Linked DNA regions of Lepisosteus oculatus. The protein of the gene in region 3 purifies or fractionates together with the protein of the main gene of each other region. This does not show direct contact. Links are inferred from orthologs where the notes say so. Each region holds a gene or a part of one and is shown on either strand. Other genes may lie near its edges.

Region 1 (8,056 bases), on a different chromosome or scaffold from region 3:
TACTATCAGGGCACACACGCCAACATAAGCCACAACACAGTCTGTCCAGTACGGGCTGGACAGGAAGAGACAGACAGAGGAGTGGAGAGGGTATCGCCCATGTCCAGTCAAAAGCTACAGAGAGAGACAGAGGGGAATATACTTATTGCAGTATCAGACCCATCACAAATTCCAGAGACACAGACAGACAACACACACAGAGACTTTAACAGCTCCTGTCCACAGACAGACAACACACACAGAGACTTTAACAGCTGCTGTCCACAGACAGACAACACACACAGAGAGATTAACAGTTCCTGTCCACAGACAGACAACACACAAGAGACTTTAACAGCTCCTGTCCACAGACAGACCACACACACAGAGACTTTAACAGCTCCTGTCCACAGACAGACAACACACACAGAGACTTTAACAGCTCCTGTCCACAGACAGACCACACACACAGAGACTTTAACAGCTCCTGTCCACAGACAGACCACACACACAGAGACTTTAACAGCTCCTGTCCACAGACAGACAACAGACACAGAGACTTTTAACAGAGTGACACGCTCCAGAGATTGAGAGAGATAAACGGACAGAGGCAAACATCGTGAGAAGGAATCAAGGTTAAGACTTTGCCAGAAACTACATCTCCCAGAAAGCACTGGGGGGGATGGTGGGGGCAGCCACCCTCCGCCACCTGACCAATTGGGAGGCGGGCCACTGGTCAGGTGACAGTGGAAAACCAGGAAGCGGAGGCGGCGGTGGCTGATACGCAGGAGAGGGCTGTTGTCTGGGCAGAGAGGCAGGTGGAATGGACCCGAGAGGGGGACCCAGGGATCTCGGGACTGGACTGGACTGGACTGGACTGGACTGGACTGGACTGGAGAGGCGGATCCGGTACCTGCCCGGTGACGGGCTCCAGCTGCTGCAGGGTGGCCAGCACGAACACGGCCGTCTTCCCCATCCCGGACTTGGCCTGGCACAGCACGTCCATTCCCAGGATGGCCTGCGGGATGCACTCGTGCTGAACTAGGGGGGGGACAGGGAGAGGGGGGAGTCAGGAAGACAGAAATACAGACTCGCTAATGGAACAGAGCACAGCATAGACACTGCGCTGGACACTGCTGTCTGGACACGGCCCTGGGACCCGCTGTCTGGACACGGCGCTGGGACCCGCTGTCTGGACAGTGTGCTGAGCCCTGATATCTGGACACCGTGCTGAGCCCTGATATCTGGACACTGCTGTCTGGACACCACACTGAGCCCTGATATCTGGACACCACACTGAGCCCTGATATCTGGACACTGCTGTCTGGACACCACACTGAGCCCTGATATCTGGACACTGCTGTCTGGACACCACACTGAGCCCTGATATCTGGACACTGCTGTCTGGACACCACACTGAGCCCTGACAGTGACAGTGGCCGTGTCTCTGTGAGAGTGGCCGTGTCTCTGTGAGAGTGTATGTGAGATAGGGTGTGTCTGTGTGAGGGTGTCTCTGTGAGAGTGGCTGTGTCTCTGTGTCCCTGTCTTACCTTCAGACGGGTGCTCGAACCCGCAGTCCACGATGGCCCTCAGGAGCTCCGGTTTCAGCAGGAAGTCCCGAAAGCCCGAGCTGTGGATGGACACGTAGGAGCCCTTCACCTCCTTCTTGACGGGGAGCAGGTCAGCCCCGTCTCCCCCACCTCCACCTGCCTCCACCTCGTCATCCTCATAGTCCAGGAGCTCGTTATCAACATCGTTCTCAGCCATGGTATTACCTAGAGGGAGAGAGAGGGGCTAATACACCCTGACTGGACACTCCAGTACACTAACACTGCACTGAGAGAGAGAGGGGTTCATACAGACACACTGACTGGACACTCCAGGACATGAACACTGCACTGAGAGAGAGAGGGGTTCATACACACACACTGACTGGACACTCCAGTACATGAACACTGCACTGAGAGAGAGAGGGGTTCATACAGACACACTGACTGGACACTCCAGTACATGAACACTGCACTGAGAGAGAGAGGGGTTCATACAGACACACTGACTGGACACTCCAGTACATGAACACTGCACTGAGAGAGAGAGGGGTTCACACAGACACACTGACTGGACACAGCAGTTCCCTAAACACGTCTGGTTAGTGATCCCCACAGGAACAGACTGCCATTTTTCACACAGGAGTGTTCACAGCTGTGCGTGGCGGAACAAGGAACCTTAACAGAGTGTCTCGCCACCCTGTTACTCATTTAGACGAGAACATATGATCTTTTAAATGCAGACGTGGATCCGCACTCGTTCAGGACCTGCAGTCTCTGAATCCAGCAGTCCCACTGAAGGCGGTGTTTTTGCGGTCACACACGCACGAAGATCTGTACAATAGTACCGCCAACCTCACCGTGCTGTGGAGGGGACATCTTGTCCCGGGACAAACGGGCTCCGACAACAACCAGCCCGTCGGTCCCTTTCGACCGATCGAGCAGCACGACTGACAATTTCCAGATCCGTGTTTTTTTTTTTTAAACTAGCGGATGTAAAACCGCGCCGGACGTGAGCGAGATCGGGGCTACACGGGGGATCACCCCCCCAACTCCCACTCCCACGGACACGCGAAAGCTCACGGGACGGGCTCAAGCCGTGTCTCCGGACCGGACCGGACCGGACCGCGGGCACCCCGAGTGGGTGTAGGGGCGTTAGGAAATCCGATTTTTTCCCGTCTGTTCGAGGTTTTTTTTGTGTGTGTGTGTGTAAAACTACAATGGCCCAGTGCGGGTTTTTTTTTTTGTTCTTTCAAAAAGACGGGCCCAGTCGCGCCACCCAGCAAACCGCCCTCACGCGAAAAACAAAAATTCCCTTCGAGAGAGGAGTCACGCCGACCAGCACGGAGAAGAGGCGGAAGAAAGCGGTTTATGAGGAGAAAAAAACCCGCAAACGGCGCGTTGAGAGGAGGGGGCGGGTGGTGGTTTTTAACCGTGAAATAAAACGCGTTTACCTTCGAATGGTTTCTCCGTCTCTCGCAGCAACGACTTCGGGGCGTTTGGTGACGTCACTCGGGTGCGCCGGCGCCGCGACCCACCGTCCCCCTCCCTCCCGTTTTCCCATGATGCACTACGCGCAGGACTCCCGTCTTTTTCCCCTCACAACCTTTTATTTGTTTTTTTTTTTCCAAACAAAACAGAAAGGGTGTTCACAAATAAAAACGCACAGACACAGAACGGCACGCGGCCAGAGGTGATTATAACCTAGCACACAATCAGTGAACATCTTTACAGACGTGAGGTGTGTTTTTCCGGGTTTTTAATGGAAATAATGTTTCGCTTTCACCATACAAAAACATTGACGGAGGGAGAAGCCTCAGATAATTTTGTTTCTGATTTCTACCCAGACTATTAATAGATTCATGCATAAATGTTCTTATATAGTTCGTATTACTATAAAAAGCACTTAGATACGGACACTATAGAATAACAAAACAAAGACAAAAAGTGTTTTTTAAATGCCGGCGCGCATTGAACGTCACTTCCGTTGCCGGGCTGACGTCATGCGCCCCAGCAGTCCGCAGCCAGGAAGAGCTCTCGACTGTGTTTGTGTTCTGCGGACGACACGTGTCTCGGCGCAACAGCGAGGTGAGGGCGACAGCTACCCGCGACTGACCTCCGATCACGGTAGGGACCCCCTGATATAATGCGGAATAGGCGTTATCTGGGACGGTTACAAGGACTCTTAACTCGGCGGATGGTTGTTCTTAAAGACCAAGTTGGAACGGCGCCTACAAATAGCGAGTAAGAGACCGGGTCTGACGACCTACAGGATCAGTGACCACAGCCTGGACACAGACACTGGTCACAGGCAGACCTGGCTGTCCAGAGAGGACAGGCTCAGTGACCACAGCCTGGATACACACACTGGACACAGGCAGACCTGGCTGTTCAGAGAGGACAGGCTCAGAGTGACCACAGCCTGGACACAGACACTGGATACAGGCAGACCTGGCTGTCCAGAGAGGACAGGCTCAGTGCCCACAGCCTGGATACAGACACTGGACACAGGCAGACCCGGCTGTTCAGAGAGGACAGGCTCAGAGTGACCACAGCCTGGACACAGACACTGGACACAGACAGACCTGGCTGTCCAGAGAGGACAGGCTCAGAGTGACCACAGCCTGGACACACACACTGGACACAGGCAGACCTGGCTGTCCAGAGAGGACAGGCTCAGAGTGACCACAGCCTGGACACACACACTGGACACAGGCAAACCCAGCTGTCCAGAGAGGACAGGCTCAGTGACCACAGTCTGGTTGTAAATTTTAAAGAGGCCAGGTTGTTCTCTGATAGTGGAATTTAGTCTGGGTTTCGAGAACGGGGTCGTGGCGGTGCGCGCCGGTCGCCCCGAATTGATCGGTTCCCCTCCGCAGCAATGTCAGCAGACGCCCTGCCCGGCTCCTGTTTCCACGGCGACCCGCTGTTCTGCCCGGAGTGCGGCACCGTGCTGCCCGTCCCCGGCGTGGAGGACGTGGTGAGCTGCCGGCGCTGCGGCTACGACATCGGCGTGAGCGGTCAGTGGCTCAGAGCAATTGATTGATTGATTGATTGATTGATCGATTGATTGATTGATGGATTGCGTTTCCCTGTGGGTGGCGCTGTTTGGCACCAACTAACCTTACCAGACCCCTGGACTGACTGGACCAGAGTCACAGACCCCTGGACTGACTGGACCAGAGGTCACAGACCCCCTGGACTGACTGGACTGGGGACACTGACCCCTGGACTGACTGGACCAGAGACACAGACCCCTGGACTGACTGGACCAGAGGTCACAGACCCCCGGACTGACTGGACCAGAGTCACAGACCCCCGGACTGACTGGACCGGGGACACAGACCCCCGGACTGACTGGACCGGGGACACAGACCCCTGGACTGACTGGACCAGAGACACAGACCCCTGGACTGACTGGACCAGAGGTCACAGACCCCTGGACTGACTGGACCAGAGGTCACAGACCCCCGGACTGACTGGACCAGAGGTCACAGACCCCCGGACTGACTGGACCAGAGTCACAGACCCCTGGACTGACTGGACCAGAGGTCACAGGCCCCTGGACTGACTGGACCGGGGACACAGACCCCTGGACTGACTGGACCAGAGTTACAGACCCCTGGACCGACTGGACCAGGGACACAGACCCCTGGACCGACTGACCCCTGGACTGACTGGACCGGGGACACTGACCCCTGGACTGACTGGACCAGAGTCACAGACCCCTGGACTGACTGGACCAGGGACACTGTCCCCTGGACTGACTGGACCAGGGACACAGACCCCTGGACAGACTGGACCAGAGGACACAGACCCCTGGACCGACTGGACCAGGGACACAGACCCCTGGACTGACTGGACCAGAGTCACAGACCCCTGGACTGACTGGACCAGGGACACTGTCCCCTGGACTGACTGGACCAGGGACACAGACCCCTGGACTGACTGGACCAGGCACACTGACCCCTGCTCCACCTGTGTGAGAGGGGATTTGCCCCAGGAGTGTGCAGGGCTCAGTCCCTCAGGAGTGCCCTCTCTCCCCCTCTGTGCTGCAGAGCTCGCTGACCAGGTGGTCACCTCGTCGGTCGTCTTCAACAGCCTGGAGTCCAGCAGCACCGCCATGATGTCCGAGGAGGAGGGAGAGCTGAAGGGCCCTGTGGTGAGTGTCCTGGGGTCGCTGGTCCCTGACCTCTGACCTGGGGTCAATGGTCACTGGCCCCTGACCTGTGTCCTGGTGTGGCTGATCCTTGACCTGTGTCCTGGGGTCACTGATCCCTGATCTCTGACCTGGGGTCACTGGTCACTGGCCCCTGACCTGTGTCCTGGTGTGGCTGATCCCTGACCTCTGTGATGGGGTCACTGGTCCCTGATCTCTGTCCTGGGGTCACTGATCCTTGACCTGTGTCCTGGGGTCACTGATCCCTGATCTCTGTGATGGGGTCACTGATCCTTGACCTGTGTCCTGGGGTCACTGATCCCTGATCTCTGTGATGGGGTCACTGATCCTTGACCTGTGTCCTGGGGTCACTGATCCCTGATCTCTGTGATGGGGTCACTGGCCCCTGACCTCTGTGATGGGGTCACTGGTCCCTGATCTCTGTGATGGGGTCGCTGGTCCCTGATCTCTGTCCTGGGGTCACTGGCCCCTGACCTCTGTGATGGGGTCACTGGCCCCTGACCTCTGTGATGGGGTCACTGGTCCCTGACTTGTGTCCTGGGGTCACTGGTCCCTGACTTGTGTCCTGGGGTCACTGGTCCCTGACCTCTGTCCTGGGGTCACTGGTCCCTGTCTGCAGTTCTTCTGGGTTCTGAATGGACCAAGATGGACTGACACGCTGGGCCCTGATAGGCTGCCTTGACCCCCCTGGCCCTGCTGAATCCAGGTCCGCACACTGACGGTGGGGGGGGGGTGACCCCTGACCTATGACCCCTGACCCGTGTCTCTGCCCCCAGATTGACCGCAGGTGCTCTCGCTGTGGCCGGGAGGGGATGGTCTACCACACCCGACAGATGAGGTCCGCCGACGAGGGACAGACCGTCTTCTACACCTGCACCCACTGCCGGCAAGTCGATCAGTCACCCGACCAGTCTATCGAGTCGATCAGTCACCCGACCAGTCTATCGAGTCGATCAGTCACCCGACCGGTCTATCGAGTCGATCAGTCACCCGACCGGTCTATCGAGTCGATCAGTCACCCGACCGGTCTATCGAGTCGATCAGTGACTCGATCAGTCTATCGAGTCGATCAGTCACCCGACCAGTCTATCACGTCGATCAGTCACCCGACCGGTCTATCAAGTCGATCAGTGACTCGATCAGTCTATCACGTCGATCAGTGACTCGACCAGTCTATCGAGTCGATCAGTCACCCGATCAGTCTATCCAGTCGATCAGTCACCCGATCAGTCTATCAAGTCGATCAGTCACCCGACCAGTCTATCGAGTCGATCAGTCACCCGACCAGTCTATCGAGTCGATCAGTCACCCGACCGGTCTATCGAGTCGATCAGTCACCCGACCGGTCTATCAAGTCGATCAGTGACTCGATCGGTCTATCACGTCGATCAGTCACCCGACCGGTCTATCGAGTCGATCAGTCACCCGACCGGTCTATCACGTCGATCAGTCACCCGACCAGTCTATCGAGTCGATCAGTCACCCGACCGGTCTATCGAGTCGATCAGTCACCCGACCGGTCTATCGAGTCGATCAGTCACCCGACCGGTCTATCAAGTCGATCAGTGACTCGATCGGTCTATCACGTCGATCAGTCACCCGACCGGTCTATCGAGTCGATCAGTCACCCGACCGGTCTATCGAGTCGATCAGTGACTCGACCGGTCTATCGAGTCGATCAGTGACTCGATCGGTCTATCACGTCGATCAGTCACCCGACCGGTCTATCGAGTCGATCAGTCACCCGACCGGTCTATCGAGTCGATCAGTCACCCGACCGGTCTATCGAGTCGATCAGTCACCCGACCGGTCTATCGAGTCGATCAGTGACTCGACCGGTCTATCAAGTCGATCAGTGACTCGATCGGTCTATCACGTCGATCAGTCACCCGACCGGTCTATCGAGTCGATCAGTCACCCGACCGGTCTATCGAGTCGATCAGTGACTCGACCGGTCTATCGAGTCGATCAGTGACTCGATTAGTCTATCGAGTCAGTCAGTCAATCGGTTGAGGACAGGACAGGAGGCTCTCCTGTACACAGAGGGGGGTGGGGGTGGGGAACAAGCCGCCCAGTCCGTGTGGTTGAAGCCGATACCCTGGCTCCTCTCCAGATACAGCTGGGTGAGCTCCTCCAGTCAGGACAGGAGGCTCTTCTGTACACAGAGGGTGGCGGGGGTGGGGAACAAGCTACCCAGCCCTGTGGTTGAAGCCGATACCCTGGCTTCTCTCCAGACACAGCTGGGTGAGCTCCTCCAGTCAGGTCAGGGGGGCTCTTCTGTACACAGAGGGGGGTGGGGGTGGGGAACAAGCTGCCCAGCTGATACCCCGGCTCCTCTCACACAGACACT
Region 2 (7,647 bases), on a different chromosome or scaffold from region 3:
TACCACCCATGTAAAAACCAGAGTTAACACCAGTAGCCTGACCTCTTCGGGTTTCTATGGTCCAGCAAGGCTGGATCTGACCAGTAAGGGGATGGGAGGTCCCCAAGGATTAACCAGATTGCTGGAGCTTTTAATTAGTGCAGAAGAACCAGTAGGTGGCACCCTTTCCTCTGGACCAGAATTTACAAACCAGAATGTTCCAGTATAGTGTACAGTATGTGTTAACTGTGCAGTGGGAAGTGTCAGCTTTGAGAAGATACTTTGCATGTCTTCTTGCCCATTAAAGATCCCATGACCATTCCTAAGAGCACAGGTGTTAACACCAGCAAATATCTTGTCATCTTAAAAAGTCTCACTTTTATTTCATATGATCTTACATAATTGAACACCTAGGATTTGCATTAGCACTTTACCAAATTCCATGCTAATATTTTTCCTAAACCGAATGTTTCAGCATAGATAAAAAATGATTATGACTGCTTTTCCTGATCTGCAGTAGTTCTGTGTGTCGAGACAGTGTCAGACTTCCTTCGCACAAGCGGTGTTCCCAACACAAACCACACAGAACAAAAAGAATTGATAACAAATGAAGACAGTGAATAGGGAGGATTAGACAAGGATAGGGTTACTTCTGCCTGAATCAGATTCTCATTTTGGTCAAAGAATTTTCACTCATCTCTTAGAGACGTCTGCATTTCCATCGCATGACGCGCGAACTCAATCCGTTGTTTTAAAGCGCTGAATTGAATTAGGTCCCCGTGGAGAGGATTAGATCAAATCCCCTTGCCCGTGCCTCGGGGGGGGGGGGTTGAGATGATGTAAATTCTGTTCATCACAATGCTTTAGTACCTTAAAAGCTGAAAAGTTATACAGCCCAAGTCACGGTGCAAACAATGTTTTCAGCACAGCAATGTTTCTTATAGCTTTCGCCTTGCTATCTGGCCGACAAAAACCCTGTTTATCGCACAGTGAAAACGCTCATTACTTTTGGTCTGTGGCTGACGTGTCCGCCCAAGTGACTTGCATTAGTCCCCACCTCTACAGCTAATAATTCTACTGGCACAATCTCAGTGAAGAATCTTGCTGCTGCCCCTGTCGATAAACTACTGACCAAATTGATGATTTGTATTTAAATCTGACTTGTTTAGTCCCTCTTACATTTCCACACTCTCATCATTCAGATAAACCCTCCTTACGAGCAGCAATGTTGCCTGGAAGAGCCAGCTTGTCAACATTTTGCTTCAGTCTGCACATCCTTCTCAAGGATGAATGGAGCAAGTTGAATGCCTGACCTATGATAAATAATACATTAACTCTCGTCTCTTGATACTTTTGCAAAGCTCTTCTGTTTCTGTACTTTCACCTCCAACATCATGGGCTGCCAATGTGTGCTTCAGGTTAAGAAGCCAGGTAATCAATCAGTTTGATTAAGCTTGCAAAGTATGTAGTTTTCATTTTTGCCTGATCTTGCAAAACTCATGAATGGGGTGAATATGAATGGGGAGAGGAGCTGGGCAGAATTAGAAACTCTAGCAATTTACAGAGGAGTTGTTAACTCCTGCCTCTGGGGCCTTACAAGAGCAAACAAAAGTGAACAATGGGCATGGCTCTTTTGTGTAGGCAGCAGTCATCACACTCGTTCAGGCTTGCTCTTGGAAGTCTCAGAGGCTTCCAAGACGTTTGCGAAGGTGTTCGCACTTGCAAGACAGCAGAAGTCACACCAGTCAGCCCAATTAACAATGAGGGACTGTAGACAGCCTCACACCTGCTCTACTAGAGAATAGGTGTGCTGTATGGTTTGTGACAAAGCAAAGGAAACATTCAGTAACGTGAATGAAAGAAGTTCTGACATTTTAGTACTATGGAATATATGTCAGAAAATAAAGTCACTTTGTGGTATTTTACACTGTACTAACATGAAGGGGGTTCTCTTTTATAGTTATAGCCTGGAGAAATAAAACAAAATTAGAGACCAATTCAGATGTTCAGTATTCAGGGGCTGGGTATGTCTCCAGTGGTCATGTCTGGCACTGCAATAATGAGTCTAGTTATTGGACTATGATCCATTTGCTTTCCCATATCAGAAGATCAGTTGTGCTCTTTATCTTGTCTGTTTTGTTCCTGATTGCACAGAATCTGTTGTCCAACTGCATAGGTTAACAGAGGATGTCCATTGTGAGCCAGTGTTGCTTTATGCTACAGTAAAGATGAAACAAAAAAGAGGTATATGTTTTTTTTTTCAATTGTAATTACAAATGAGATTAATGAAACATTAAAATAATCATTTGTCACTTACCATCATACATCACTTATGTGCTTAGGGGGGTAAGATATAAAATCAACCAAAAGAAACACCGCTAATAGCCAATGGTTGCATATCTTCAATATTTTAATGAACTATATTTGTTTTACTGAAACTCTGCCTGGGTCGTGTGCATTGCAGCCATGTTTTGCAGAAAACAAGTCTCCTTGGCATTTAAGGCATCTCTGTTTTGGGTGGTGGCAGACTGGGTGGACTACAATGGGCTTGTTTAATTTCAGAAACAAGGCGTTAGACAAAAACAGGACAGAACTGGGACCGGGTGGGACTGGTTTCTAAACTTAAACTGCCAGTCTGACAGTTTAAAATGATAGTCTCACACAACCCATCCCTTCAAGGAAAATATACCGCTACCACAACACTGGGTATTTTGTGGTGAAGGAATAAAAAATTGTACTCGGGAAGTCTGGGCTGGAGGAGGCTGAAAGAGTTAATTTTGGGGGGATTGGTCTGGCGCATAAACAAGACGCCAGCCTGAAAGGTTTTGATTTAGGTTTTTGTTTCTCCCATTCCCTTATGTGAATTTTTAATTCTCTGTGTGAGAGGGAGCCCAGACTCCCGCTTAGTGTTATTAGTATTTTATTGACAAAACACTTGTTCTCTTAAGCTCTGGGAACATTGTCTTGATATACACCATGTTTTCATTTGCATTTCAGCAGATTGACAGGGGGACTTATCATGGGCCCATAATTCCAAACTGCACCTAGGATATTGTAAGAAAATAAAAACCAGATTAAATGCATTAGACACATTTAGCCAAAGGTAAACAAAGTGCTTTTTCTAGCACAACTGACATTCCTGTAGGAACTATATAACTATATATTTTCAGTTCAGAGAAGTGGAGTTCCGATGTGTTACATTTTATATACATCAGTTCCTCACAGATATCGGTCATCCGTCCATCTTTATTATTATAAAGAGTTATTATCGGACCACGTAGGCCTATACAGGGCCAAGGTGAGCTGGAGACAGAGGCCAGAGGGAGAGCATGCAGAATGTGCTCTATGTTGTACTCGAACACCAGACCAGAGAGCTTTGGAGACTGGAGAGAGCACTGCCATGCTCCCCCGCATAAATAATTTTAGGAAATTTTAATAATTAGTTTTAATAATAATATTTCCTTGCATCCGCACGAGTGCCTTTCACCCCAAGGGTGCTTTCCCTACAGGAGGGGCCCCACATCGTCCAGTACTGAAGTGCGCCCCCACCAGGGTGACGCGCAGCAGCCCACAGATCAGTGGGAGGGGAGGGGTGAGAATTTGCTTCCCCAGTTGAAGTAAGGAGGGAACTCTGGGGAGGTCAGATCGTACAAGCACACTAACAGCGCCATGGCAATTTTAAACGACCAAGCAGTCAGGATCGCGATCTAACATTTAATCCGTAGAACGGCACCTCCTACAGAGTAGCAAATTGTCTCTTATCGCCATACTGGGGCACCGGGTTATAAATTCTGGCCCAGAGGGAAGAGTGCCACCTACTGGTCCACCAACACCGCTTACAACAGCACTGATCAGGCCCACCCCAGCATCATCCATCTCCTGATACACAGGTCGGAGGTTCACGATTTGCGGGCGATCAACGAACGCCTCGCACACACTTCACAGTATTTTCCTATAGAGAGTAAAAAAGCTCCACCTTCCGGACACACAGTGTAAAGCATTCCGAAAAATGAATAAAGAACAATTAAACCCATTGTCCATAAAAGTTAACCCATGTTTGCCGGAGCTGAGAAAATCAGTGATGAGACGATGTAGTAAAGCAATGCTCCACCGTGCTGTTTAACCGACTGAACCACACGGCATAGTATTTCTTTTTAGACATTTCTGTGGTCAAATAGGAGATCCTAGAAATATCCCTCAGAGTTAAAAAAAAGAAAACAAATCTGCAGGTTTGTTTGGCAACATTTTATCGACGAAGTTGTTAACCTGTAATGCCTTCGTGTTCCCCTTTGTTACTATCAGAGCAGAAACGACAGAAGCACACCACCCAGATTTCGGAAAAAGTACTTTAATGTCGTTAAAAATAAAAAAAAATCGACACATGTCGCGTTACCTCGGTTTTACGTAAATGTACAGAGAGGGGCACGGCGTGATCTCCAACCAACAGTGAGGGGGGAAAAAAAAACCCCAACCACAACACATTTTTATCGACGCCAAATTCATTTAAGAACAGCGGGCCGGCTGCGCCTTTAAAAATTACAGCGGTCGGAGGTTGTTGTTTTTTTTTCAAAGGGGGAGGGAGAGCCCGACCATTTTGAATGAATTTAGTGAGCTCACTTCCTCTCGGCTTGCTATTTTCCCCCTCGGTCGCAGGATTTTTTGTGTGTGTGTGTTCTCAATCGCTTTCCATTCGTAGGGAGCTAAGAAGGAGAGAAAGAGAGGGAGGGAGCCATTACGAGGTTGCTAACCGACACGACCGGGAGGCTCGGCACACACTTGGGCCCGATCTCAGCCAGACCTGCAGAAGATTACGAGGCCGCTAGGAGCTTTTCCCCCCCGCTGCTGCAAACGCATTTTTTAATCCTATTTTTATTCCTCCTCCTCCTCCCCAAGACTGTAAACGCAGCAGACACAATAGTAAACAAAATGGAGAACGAAAGCAAATATCTCCCCGAGTTGCTGGCGGAGAAGGACAGTCTGGATTCCTCCTTCACTCACGCCATGAAACTGGTGTCCACAGGTAAATCGAGCCGCTCTGGAAACTTTTCGTTGTTGTTGGTGGTTTTTGTGTGTGTGTGTTAAGGAATAAACGGGGCGCCGAGCTGCCAAAAGCCGACGAGAAGGGGGGCTTTTCTTCTTCTCCTGCTGCTGCTTGTGACGGTGAAAATGAAAAGCGTAAATGTTTCTGAAGTTGGCGGGGGGAAGAGCGCACGTCGTGGGGAAGAGTGTCTGTGAGACAAAGGGTTTCGCTCACCCCTCTCGCACACGGCCGGGTACTTGTTGGGTTTTTAATTAAAAAAAACGACACAACGTTTTTTTTTTAATGGTGTTTAACATAGTCGGGCGGCGTTGGTGTTCTTTGATTCTCGCTTTTAAATTTTAATTTAAAGCCGGTAACCCGATCGGGTCGGCATTCGTCTCGGGTGTCTGCCGGCGGCGTGGTGACGACGAGCCCCGGGCCGGCCGGCCGGCCGAGCAGCTCCCCGGTGAAGCCGCCGCCGTAAAATGTAAAAAAAACAATAAAAACGAGTCGTTTTTGACTCGTTTCTCGGGGGGGTGAAAGGCGAGGAGAGGAGAGCGTGTTTTCCCACGGCGTGGCTTTGTGGAGTGTGAACAGGGCACTGTCGGGGAGGGAGGGGGGCATCAAGTTGCAGGAAAGGATGGCGCCCTGCCTGCGCTCCTCGGGTATTGAAAGTGTGCGTCTCGGTGCCGACGGTCCCTGCATCTCGGTCCCTTTTGTTTTCCGATCTTGATGCGGTTTTATTTTTCTTCTTCTTCTTCTTCTTCTTGTGTGTGCGTTTCTCTCTCGCCACGCCTGTCCGCCGGTTAAATTGCAATTCACGAAAAGTTGGGATGCTGCTTTTGTATTTATGGGAAGTTTTAGCTGTGGGGGGATGAATGTGCGTTTCTGCAGGGGGGGTACAACCGCCCCCCCCCCACCCCCGAGTACTTATTTTTCATCAGCAGAAGAAAGATATTTTAGAAGCGACCTCGGGTTTTTTTTTTATGAGTTGAGCTGCAAATCGGGACGTAGGTTTTTAAACTGTAGCGCAGCTTTAAGCACGATCTGCATATGATGAGCGAATTGATAAATGGCGAAGCTCCCCTTTCTTTAAAAAGAAAAAGTTACAGAATGGGGAAAAACGGATTTTTCCATTGCCGGACCGCCTTGATTGCAGAAGCGTTAATTGTTCCCTTTGTGGAGAGATGAAATCAAGCTTTAGCTGTCGTGCCGTTTACACGATTGAGCGTGTTTTGCATGTACGGAACCGGCGCATTTCAGTCGCTGGGCTCTGGGTTTACCTCAAATGCTTTTTTTTTTTTGGTCGACGGGTTTTAAGGAGTTTATCAACCCCGTGCCGAGACCTCGCACGGTAAATATTTCTCATGACACGTTTGGAAACTTCAGAAAGAAATGTTATCAGCCTCGGGATTTAGGGTCCAACGATATGTTCTTTTACAGCCTAATTCCAGGTGGCATCTTTCCTAACGGGGAAGATGGTTCCCCGATGCCTTATTTCTGGATATTTGTTTGTGTGTGTGTGTAACCGCAGCACCCTCAGTGTTTCAAATAAATGACTTTAAAACGACCGAGCCTCACTTGGCCTCGGTGGGGAGAAACCACACAGTCAGTCTCTCGGAGGAAGAGGCGCTTTAGATAACGGTGCTTCAAAAAAAAAAAAGCTCTTTTCAGGTCCCTCTGTCGGGGTGCGAGGCTCTCTGCAGGGGTAACTTCATTCCTTGGCACGTTTCGAGTTTAGTCTTCTGCCAACATCTCAGCTCGGGACTATTCGCTTGCCCGCTGTTATATTTTGATCCCCGCCACCGTCAAGTCCTCTGTTAGTTTTTTTTTTAAGTGGATGGCGAGACCCCCGGTGGGCATGGATGTCTTCAGGGTGGGGGGGTGACAGTCCAGAGGGTTGAAAAAGACTGAAATAGTTTTTTTTTTCGCTCCAAGCTGGGGGGGGTGGGGGTGGAGGAAAACCGTTAACGTGGCAAAATTATATTTTGGAACAGGACGCGATCAGACGTTGCTCTTGTTGGGAAGGAGGTTGAGAATAGCCCAGTCCATCGCCAGACGGGAGATGTTAAGCGAGTTGGGGGGGTCTCTCACGCCCGCTTGCCCGCTCCTTGAAACCAGCATTGAGCCTCTCGTCAAATGCCCATCCACGTTTTTTTGTTCTTTTTTTTTAAAAAAAAGAAACAACTTTCAGGGTCTGAAGACGTGGAATACTATTTTCTGGTTCTTTGGCAGTGGAAACTTGAATGTTTTCCAGCTTTTTAAACGGTGTGCCTGTTTCATATTAAGACGAACATAGTTTCTGCAATAAAAGTGTCACAAGTGGTTGTAAATGCTCGTTTCCCCGTGCTTGCCTGTGAGCTCCTGCAGTTGCTGGTTTGTGTTGAGCACTGTGAAATTTTTACACCCCCCTTTCAATTCTCACTTCGTCCGCCACTGCTGGTGGCTTGAAATAAGATTATTGAAATGTCTGGTTGCATCGGCGTGTTAATTGGACCAGCGGCACGATGGCTTAAACGTTTCAGTCTTGTTCTGTTGGCGATGCCGCGGCTGACATAGTCTTGCATCTAGCTTGGCTTCTGCCTCCGCTGTCTGGAAATAATCACTCCAGAACATTGCATTACACCTGTTTTTTTTAGCCAGCTGTT
Region 3 (7,670 bases):
TACGACGAACCTTTTCCACAGACCCCCTTAAGGGCCACATGTGCATCCTCCCGGCTTCTGCCTCCTTGTTCCTTCCTCGCTCCCGCTGTAGTGATTTCGACATGTGGCCCTCTCCCTGCTCGTGCTCGGTGTTGTCCCAGCGGTCGCCTGTAGCTCAGGGCCCAATGGTTCTGACTGGAGCCTCTGGAGTTCAAATCAGAGTTTCCTGTGTCGCTTTATTAACATTTTGAATTGAAGTAAGAGACAAGATGTGAAAAGGGTTAACTTCTGCCTGAAAATTAGACTTGTAAGCAACAGGGGTTTATGGCAGGAAAGGGGGTTAACTGATAAGGATTCCAGATGCGAGCAAGGAACCCCCTGGGGGCATAATCTTAAACTGACCATTTGGCCAGGGTCTCTTAACTGGCCAAATACCATGACCCCCCTTACCATAACATCGAATAACATCTGAAGCAGCAAGCAAGGACTATATAACCTAAAAGTTTGTACCGGCACATCGAACAATACTTCGGTTTTGTTGTTTCTTGCGGGAAACAAGACTTCGGCTTTATTGTTCCTTGCATGCAATAAACTCATCTGTTTTACTTCATCTCGGGATCCAGAACCTTATTCTTTCTGTTACAACAGAATCATGTATGCATTTCGATTTTTATGCGTGTGTCAAGCGGGACTGGGGATTGGGCGGGGGGGTCCCCCTCAAAGCACAGGGCCCTGGGCGGCCACATACCCCCCCCCACCCCGAGCCGGCCCTGGCTGTGAGGCAGAAATATTAACCACTATGTAACCGTGCCCACCTGAAAAACTGCGCCTAACTCTAGTTCCAGATATAGATCTGGACTCTCGGACAGACCGCTCCCCAGACGCGTGCCGCGGGAGAGGTGGCCAGTCCGTGCCCGTGCCGGTCTGACGACGGGCGGGGGGCAGTGAGGTGCACTTCCCGATGTCTTCCAGGTGGGGGCGCGGCTTCGGCCTGGTTGAGCTGGTGGTGGGGGTCGACAGCCTGGCGAATCAGCCCAACAGTGTCTTCGGGGTCATCTTCTACGTGCTGCAGCTGGTCCTGGGTACGAGACTCCCCCCGTCCCTGTCTGTGTGTGTCTCAGTCTGCTCGTGTGAGCTCTCTCTCTCTCTGCTCTGTGACGGTGTGTGAACCCCACGTCCTCCATCTCTCTCTCTCTCTCAATTCAATTCAATTCCAGGTGCTTTATTAGCATGACTGATGGGTACAATCAGTGTTGCCAAAGCAAATAAAACTAATAAAATTAACATGGAACAAAACAAAAAATAGAAGTAAAATAAAACCTACAGACATGTTACAGACATTTACAACTCTCTCTCTCTCTCTCTCTCTCTCTCTCTCTCTCTCTGTAATTGAGTGTATCAGTGTGCTGCAATAGTAGTCTTCCTCTGTGTCTGCAGGTCAGTCGCTGTCCAGCAGGGCGGCGCTGTTGCTGGTGCTGACCTCCTGGCTGTCTGTGGCTGGCTCCCTCTACCTGGCCTGTATCCTGGTGTTCGTGCTGTGGGATTTCTGCATGGTGTGTGTCAGCACCTACCTGCTCAACTTCACCCTGATGTACGTCAACCTGCGCAGACAGAGAGCACTGAGAGCTGACAAGGCCAAACGGAGCTGAGAGAGAGGAGCTGTACATGAACACTCACACTGACACACACACCATACTGACACATTTACACACTCACACACTGACTGAGACACCCATACTGACACACTCACACTGACACATTCACACACTGAGACACACACACTGACTGACACCCATACTGACACACTCACACACACACTGATTTACACACATACACACTCACACACACTGACTGACACACTCAAACACTGAGACACACACACTGACTGACACACACACACAGACTGACACTCACGAAAGAACATGGGAACACAGGACGAGTCACAAACGCAGGAGTCATCCAGCCTGTTTGTTAGTTAAGAGCTAATTAATCCCAGAATCTTTCCGAGTTGTGTCTGGGTATCAGCTGCAACAACCCAGCTGGGCAGCTTTTTCCACTCTCCCACCACCCTCTATGTACAGAAGTGCCTCCTGTCCTGACTGGAGCATCTCTTCCAGCTGTACCTTGAGAGAACCCGGGGTATCAGCTGCAACAACCCAGCTGGGCAGCCTGTTCCACACCCCCACCCCTCTCTGTGTAAAGAAGTGCCTCCTGCTCTCAATTCTAAATGCTGCTTCCTATAGTTTCCTTTCGTGTGCTCTGTTTTATATGCCACTGCTTATTCTCAAAACCTGTTACATTCAGCCACGAGCTCCCACAGATCGGAGACCTGTTCAACAGGTGGCTGATCGATAACTGTGACTGGGGAGTGTTACAGGATACCATCAGTGTTACTTTTTTTTTTATTCTGGCAAAACCCCAAATAAATCTTCTTCAAGTACCTTTGATGTGCCTCTCTGCTGATTTTCGTTCTGAAAGAAGGATTTTACTCTGCGCAGTGAGACAGAGGAGGGAAATCTAAATCACACACACACACTCCCGTCTCCCGTTGGGGGTTCTGTGAAAGTGGGGGGTCTCCACTATTCTCTGGTCTGCGTGCTGTCTGCTCAGAGGCACACGGACCGCGTTCTGAGCGATGGACTGCGGGGCGAAAACACTGGTGGGGTTTTACAACTTCTCCTGACAAAAGAGGGGGTGATCAAGGAAATTGGAAGAGCTCGGGCGCAGAGCGTCTCAGTTCTCTAACTCTGTAGTTCTCAGTCCTGATCCGGGAGAAACACTGTCTCCTGGTCTTCACTCCAGCCTGGGCTCTTAATGACTTTATCTCAGACGATCTCAGTCCTGATCCAGGAGGAACACTGTGTCTCCTGGTCTTCGCTCCAGCCTGGGCTCTTAATGACTTTATCTCAGAGGATCTCAGTCCTGATCCAGGAGGAACACTGTGTCTCCTGGTCTTCACTCCAGCATTCCTTAAGTTATGTGCAGACGAGTTGGCCACAGTTTTTATGGATATTTTTAATCTTTTACTTTTAAAGTCCCCTGTTCCAGTGTGTTTTAAGAAAAAAAAACCACCATTGTACGTGTGTTGAATAAATATATTGCAACTTTGAATGATTACAGACCGGTAGCGCTCACATCTACCAAAATGAAATGCTTTGAAAGGCTGGTGATGAGCCACATTGACATCATGATACCGGAGTGCTTAGACCCCCTGCAGTTTGCACGCCTGTGTAACAGGTCCACTGATGATGCTATTTCCCTGGCTCCTCACACTGCCCTGGCTCATTTGGAAAACAAAGGCACACGTCAGACTGCTACTCATTGATTACAGCTCCGCCTTTAACACTATCGTTCCATCCAGACTGGTCACCAAGCTTAATGATCTGAGTATCAGCTCTGTTGTCTGATCCGGGTGTCTCTCTGCAGCTGGAGTCTGGATTCCTGACTGGCAGACCACAGACTGTGAGGGACGATGGAAAGCTATCTTCCCCGCTGACCGCTGATATAGGTGTCCCTCAGGGGTGCTTGGTCCCCTGCTGCTCTCCTTGTTTACCCACGACTGTGAGGGCCAGACGCAGCTCCAGGGCGGACACACAATTTCAACCCCGGTTGGCCCAGCTGTGAGTGTGTGTGTCTGTTACTCGCGCGTGTGAGTAGGTGAACCACCACCAGGAAAGAGCACAGAGAGGTGACCCACACGGAGGCAGTGAGAACATGCAGACTCCACCCTGACAGCGCCCCAGGGATTGAACCCGGCACCCCCAGCACTGCGCCCCTGTGCCGCCTGACTTTCATTCAATGGTTTCCAGTCCCGATCCTAGAGGACCACTAATTGAATTCAGTTCCCTATTTGGGGAATATTGTTAGGTTTCCCATCAGCTCCTGAAAGGATTTGGGATTGGGTGTCAATGCTGTACCAGTTGGAGATGAAAAACGACCCTCATTCAGACAAAGACGCGGTTCCAGCCCTTAAATATTTACACATCGCATATGACAATATTCACACATTACATTTTCACCGCTTTCTTTTCTTAGGTGATGTATGTATCAGAAACCGGGTCAGATGAGGATAACTGGGGTGAGATATTTAATAGAATGAGGATGCAGTGTAATCCTGTTCTGTTGCAGTGCAGAGAGACGAAGAGTTTACAGCCGCGGTGCCCTGTTACAACACACCTCCAACCCAGAGCCGATACGAAGCATCGCAAAACCCCATGTTAATCTCTTAATGAGAGGCGGATTAAGGGAGACCGGCGCTATTGTACAAAAACGTGAGGGGGTTTCTGGCACCCTCTGCTTCGTTTCAGTAAATGTATAAAAAGAGACAAACTTTAAAAAAAAGTGAATTGTTGTTCTCAGACGGGAATACGAACAGCAGGGACATCTTTTTTTCTGGTGACGGGAGGGGGGGGGACTGTTCGATTCGGGTAGTTTCCCAACTGCACCGCCTCCTCCCCCCAGGCATTCAAGGCAAGTGGTCTCGTCCAGCCGCAGGTTTTAAAAGTCTCCGCGCGGCGGCCCGGTGACGCAGTTTGTCCTCAGTGTCGAGCTGCGGAGCTGTGTCGTCTTCGGCGCCTTCGAAGTTTCTTTTTATTTCTTTCTCTTCTTCCCTCCCCCGCACCCCCCACCCCATCGGCTTTCTTTATTTCCCGTATTTATTTTCTTCGGAAGCAGTTTGTGCGTTTGAGGGAAGAAAAGCGCGGGCGAAAGAGTCGCGGAGCACAAAGACAACCCGACCACCATGGCGTCCAACGGTAAGAAAATAAAAACACAAATTTCTTACTTTTTTTTCTTTAGAAAATACCATCGTTTTATTTGTTTTTTAAAAAGTGGCCTTCGCCGCCTGCTGTGCGAACTCGTGGCCGTTAACCCGCCTGCGGGAAAGAGGCGGTTAGCCTGTGGGTCTAATTCATTTCAAACCTCCGCTGTCCGCGCCGGAGTGAAACAAGCGGCTTCTCCGGTTCTCTGCTGTGTGTAAGTGAAAAGTCTCGACGTCTGAATTTGAAGACGCTGCCGGGGTCGTGGCTCCGGGGAGAGAAACGCGTAAAAATCACACAGTTCGGGGTTTGAACGTGTGGGTTTCTCCTCGCGTCAGGGGCTCCGCTCGCCCCGGCCTCCCGGCTCTGTGTCGTTCTGGTTGTGCGCTTTTTTTGTTGTTGCTGAAATCGGGTCCGTTTCCGGCCGGCTGGCTGGGCTGGCGGCGGCGGCTGTTTTCCCTCCCGAGAGAAGGGGGAGAGGCGAGACAAAAGCGGGGCTGTCGCCTCTCCGCGGCCGCCGCCATCTTGCCTCCCCCTTTTGTGCGCGAGCTGGCGCGGGGTGTCGCGCCCTCTGGTGCGCCTCGCGCCCCCGGGAACGAAGTGTCCGGGCCGCCGAGGTGTGATTTTGGGGGGCCCCGGGGTTGAGGGAGCCCCCCGGATTTGCTGTGGGGGAGCAGGTGTGTGTGTGTGTAGGGGAGTGGGGGCGGGGCGGAACCGGCCATGCCGCGCGGAGCGGCGCCTCCATCCGGGTCATCCCGCTCAAGATGGAGCCGCCGACTTCCGCTTCCGGCCGGTGTGGAGATCGGGAGAGGGGCGGGAGCTGATCGCCGCGCTGCTGCCCCGGCTTCTCAGGCCGCTCGTTACCCCCCCGGTGACGACACGAATTCATTGGCGTTGTGTAAGGAAGAAAAATGGAGGAGTTCCGAATTAAATCACGAATTTAAATGAATTAAATTTAATTAAATCAATTAAATCGAGAGTTCGTGTGAATTGCGCTGGAGAGGCGGCGGCCCTTCCTGCTCACTAGCCACCTCGATGACGAGGGTGATGGAAGAGCAAATCAGCACAGGCTTGCGCAGCAGACGATTCACTACTGGGATGTTCCAAAGTGATCCTTGTGCAGCGTTAACAAGTAGTATTTGTCGCCAAAACCATCTCAAAGTCGAGAGCGATATTGCAGTAATATCCAGTCAACGATGTTTCTGTTGGCTTAAAATGGGCGTTTACCAGCACGCGTGTTTACAATGTAATTAGGCTGCTTCACGTCGTTGGGTGCCCCCCCCTCACTCGTTCTAAATCACAGACTTGGAAATGGTCTATTTTGTGATATAATTGCAGGTTTTACACGTTGTGCCTTTTACTTTTAACGTGGTTTGAAATGTACTCATTGCGAATTCTTTCTAACCCCAAAATAAAAAAAGTTGCAGTTCTGCTTTAATACGTATGCTGAAAAGCAGCTGCAAGTGAGAATAGTTTAATCAGCACATCTAGTCTGTTTGGTCGTGTGTGCTCATCTGAGTGAATTGTGCATCACCCAGCTGTGTCAAGAGGGGAGTCAGCGTATTGGTCTCAACAACAGGGCTGGGCAGCTTGTTCCCCTCTCCCACCACCCTCTCTGTACAGAAGAGCCTCCTATCCAGGCTGGAGTTGATCACCCAGTTGTGTCAAGAGGGGAGTCAGAGTATCGGTCTCAACAACAGGGCTGGGCAGCTTGTTCCCCTCTCCCATCATGCCTTTTCAAAATTGATCATGCAGCACCCCTACACTGCCGAGCAACCGGGGGTATAGTCACTGAACTCCATTCAGACCACCTGGGTTCAAGCGCAGTACAACTAAGTTCTCTTATATTCCTGCAGCCATTGACCTGCTTCGTGTGCTCGATGGATTGTATTTTATTTTTCATGACTGTCCCCCCCCTTCACAAACGTACGGTTTGCTGCTACGAATCATGCGAATTGTCACGCGCGTTTTGAGTGGCAAAGGCCACTTTCAAAGCTACGAAGACGTGATGCAAAGAAACATTTCGAAACCTCAGGCAGGTCGGGGGAGGGAGGAGGCAGGCGACTGGTTTGGTATCGGGTGCTGGCACCGTCGGGCTCCACTGCCGGGTCTGGCGTGGGTGGGAGTGAGGACACTGCGGCTTCGCCTGCTCGCTCCTGTGTGCTCCTGCTTCCCCCGGGCCCTGGAGGGGCGAGGAAAGGGCCACTGTGTGTCGCTACTCACAAAGCAAGTGAAGTGGTCATTCTGAGGTCTAACGAGATAAGCAGTGGATTTCATCAGATAAAAAGTAAACCACAAAAAAAGTTTGTCCTTGGTGTTTCTTGTCATTTTTGGTGAAAATGGTTGAAGGGGGACTTTCTTGGGGGTCTGGAACAGCTTGTTTTTCTTTGTAAGAGATGTTGGAATGGGTTTTTCTTTGTATGAGTTGTCACTTTGCAAAAAGGTTTCTGGGAACGAATTACGTTCGTGAAAAGAGGTCCAGGTCTCTTTTTTTCCTCATCATACTCGCACGTCTGGGTGACTGCTTCATGCTGTGAATTTTGTCCTTCATCTGCCTGTAAAACGCGTTTCGCACCTGGCACAGTGCAAGTGTCGCCAAGTGACTGACCCCCCGTTTCTCTTTGTTTTTCCAGATTACTCCCAGACTGCGCCCCAGGGGTGAGTGACTCTGTGTTTCTACTGTAACTGTGCCAGCCTGCAGCTGATTAACGTGTTTTATACAGTGACTTAAAAAATGATTTATCCAAGTTTTACAATAAGAGGAATGGAGCTAAAAGGAAGAACAGCCAGGGTTAAGAATGTAGTGGATCATGGGTCGGCAATTCGTTTTTTTTGCAGACCCCAGCTTGTTCTCCGTGAGACACGGGCTCACAGACAGGGAGAGAAGCTGGGGGTCAGAGCGCAGGGTCAGCCGTTTATACAGCGCCCCTGGAG

Evidence for each region. The genes of interacting proteins can lie anywhere in the genome.
Region 1: the proteins of fus (region 3) and ddx39b purify together in Homo sapiens (affinity purification with mass spectrometry; 3 studies listed by BioGRID and IntAct, with this or other methods). This does not show direct contact. The link is inferred for Lepisosteus oculatus from reciprocal best matches to the Homo sapiens genes FUS and DDX39B.
Region 2: the proteins of fus (region 3) and khdrbs1b purify together in Homo sapiens (affinity purification with mass spectrometry; 3 studies listed by BioGRID and IntAct, with this or other methods). This does not show direct contact. The link is inferred for Lepisosteus oculatus from reciprocal best matches to the Homo sapiens genes FUS and KHDRBS1.

The regions. Positions count from the first base shown.
Region 1 is NC_090709.1:41,005,733-41,013,788, reverse strand, and holds the start of ddx39b (DEAD (Asp-Glu-Ala-Asp) box polypeptide 39B), read right to left. Parts: upstream 3,085-8,056; 5' UTR 2,981-3,084; intron 1,755-2,980; 5' UTR 1,747-1,754; coding exon 1,530-1,746; intron 1,021-1,529; coding exon 893-1,020; intron 1-892. Other genes in the region: polr1h (DNA-directed RNA polymerase I subunit RPA12), read left to right, coding at 3,485-3,653, 4,406-4,546, 5,585-5,688, 6,483-6,592. UniProt on the Homo sapiens protein: Involved in nuclear export of spliced and unspliced mRNA. Component of the TREX complex which is thought to couple mRNA transcription, processing and nuclear export, and specifically associates with spliced mRNA and not with unspliced pre-mRNA.
Region 2 is NC_090706.1:3,047,121-3,054,767, forward strand, and holds the start of khdrbs1b (KH domain-containing, RNA-binding, signal transduction-associated protein 1), read left to right. Parts: upstream 1-4,563; 5' UTR 4,564-4,905; coding exon 4,906-4,999; intron 5,000-7,647. UniProt on the Homo sapiens protein: Recruited and tyrosine phosphorylated by several receptor systems, for example the T-cell, leptin and insulin receptors. Once phosphorylated, functions as an adapter protein in signal transduction cascades by binding to SH2 and SH3 domain-containing proteins.
Region 3 is NC_090699.1:5,217,324-5,224,993, reverse strand, and holds the start of fus (RNA-binding protein FUS), read left to right. Parts: upstream 1-4,619; 5' UTR 4,620-4,720; coding exon 4,721-4,733; intron 4,734-7,369; coding exon 7,370-7,394; intron 7,395-7,670. Other genes in the region: vkorc1 (vitamin K epoxide reductase complex subunit 1), read left to right, coding at 952-1,061, 1,417-1,628. UniProt on the Homo sapiens protein: DNA/RNA-binding protein that plays a role in various cellular processes such as transcription regulation, RNA splicing, RNA transport, DNA repair and damage response. Binds to ssRNA containing the consensus sequence 5'-AGGUAA-3'.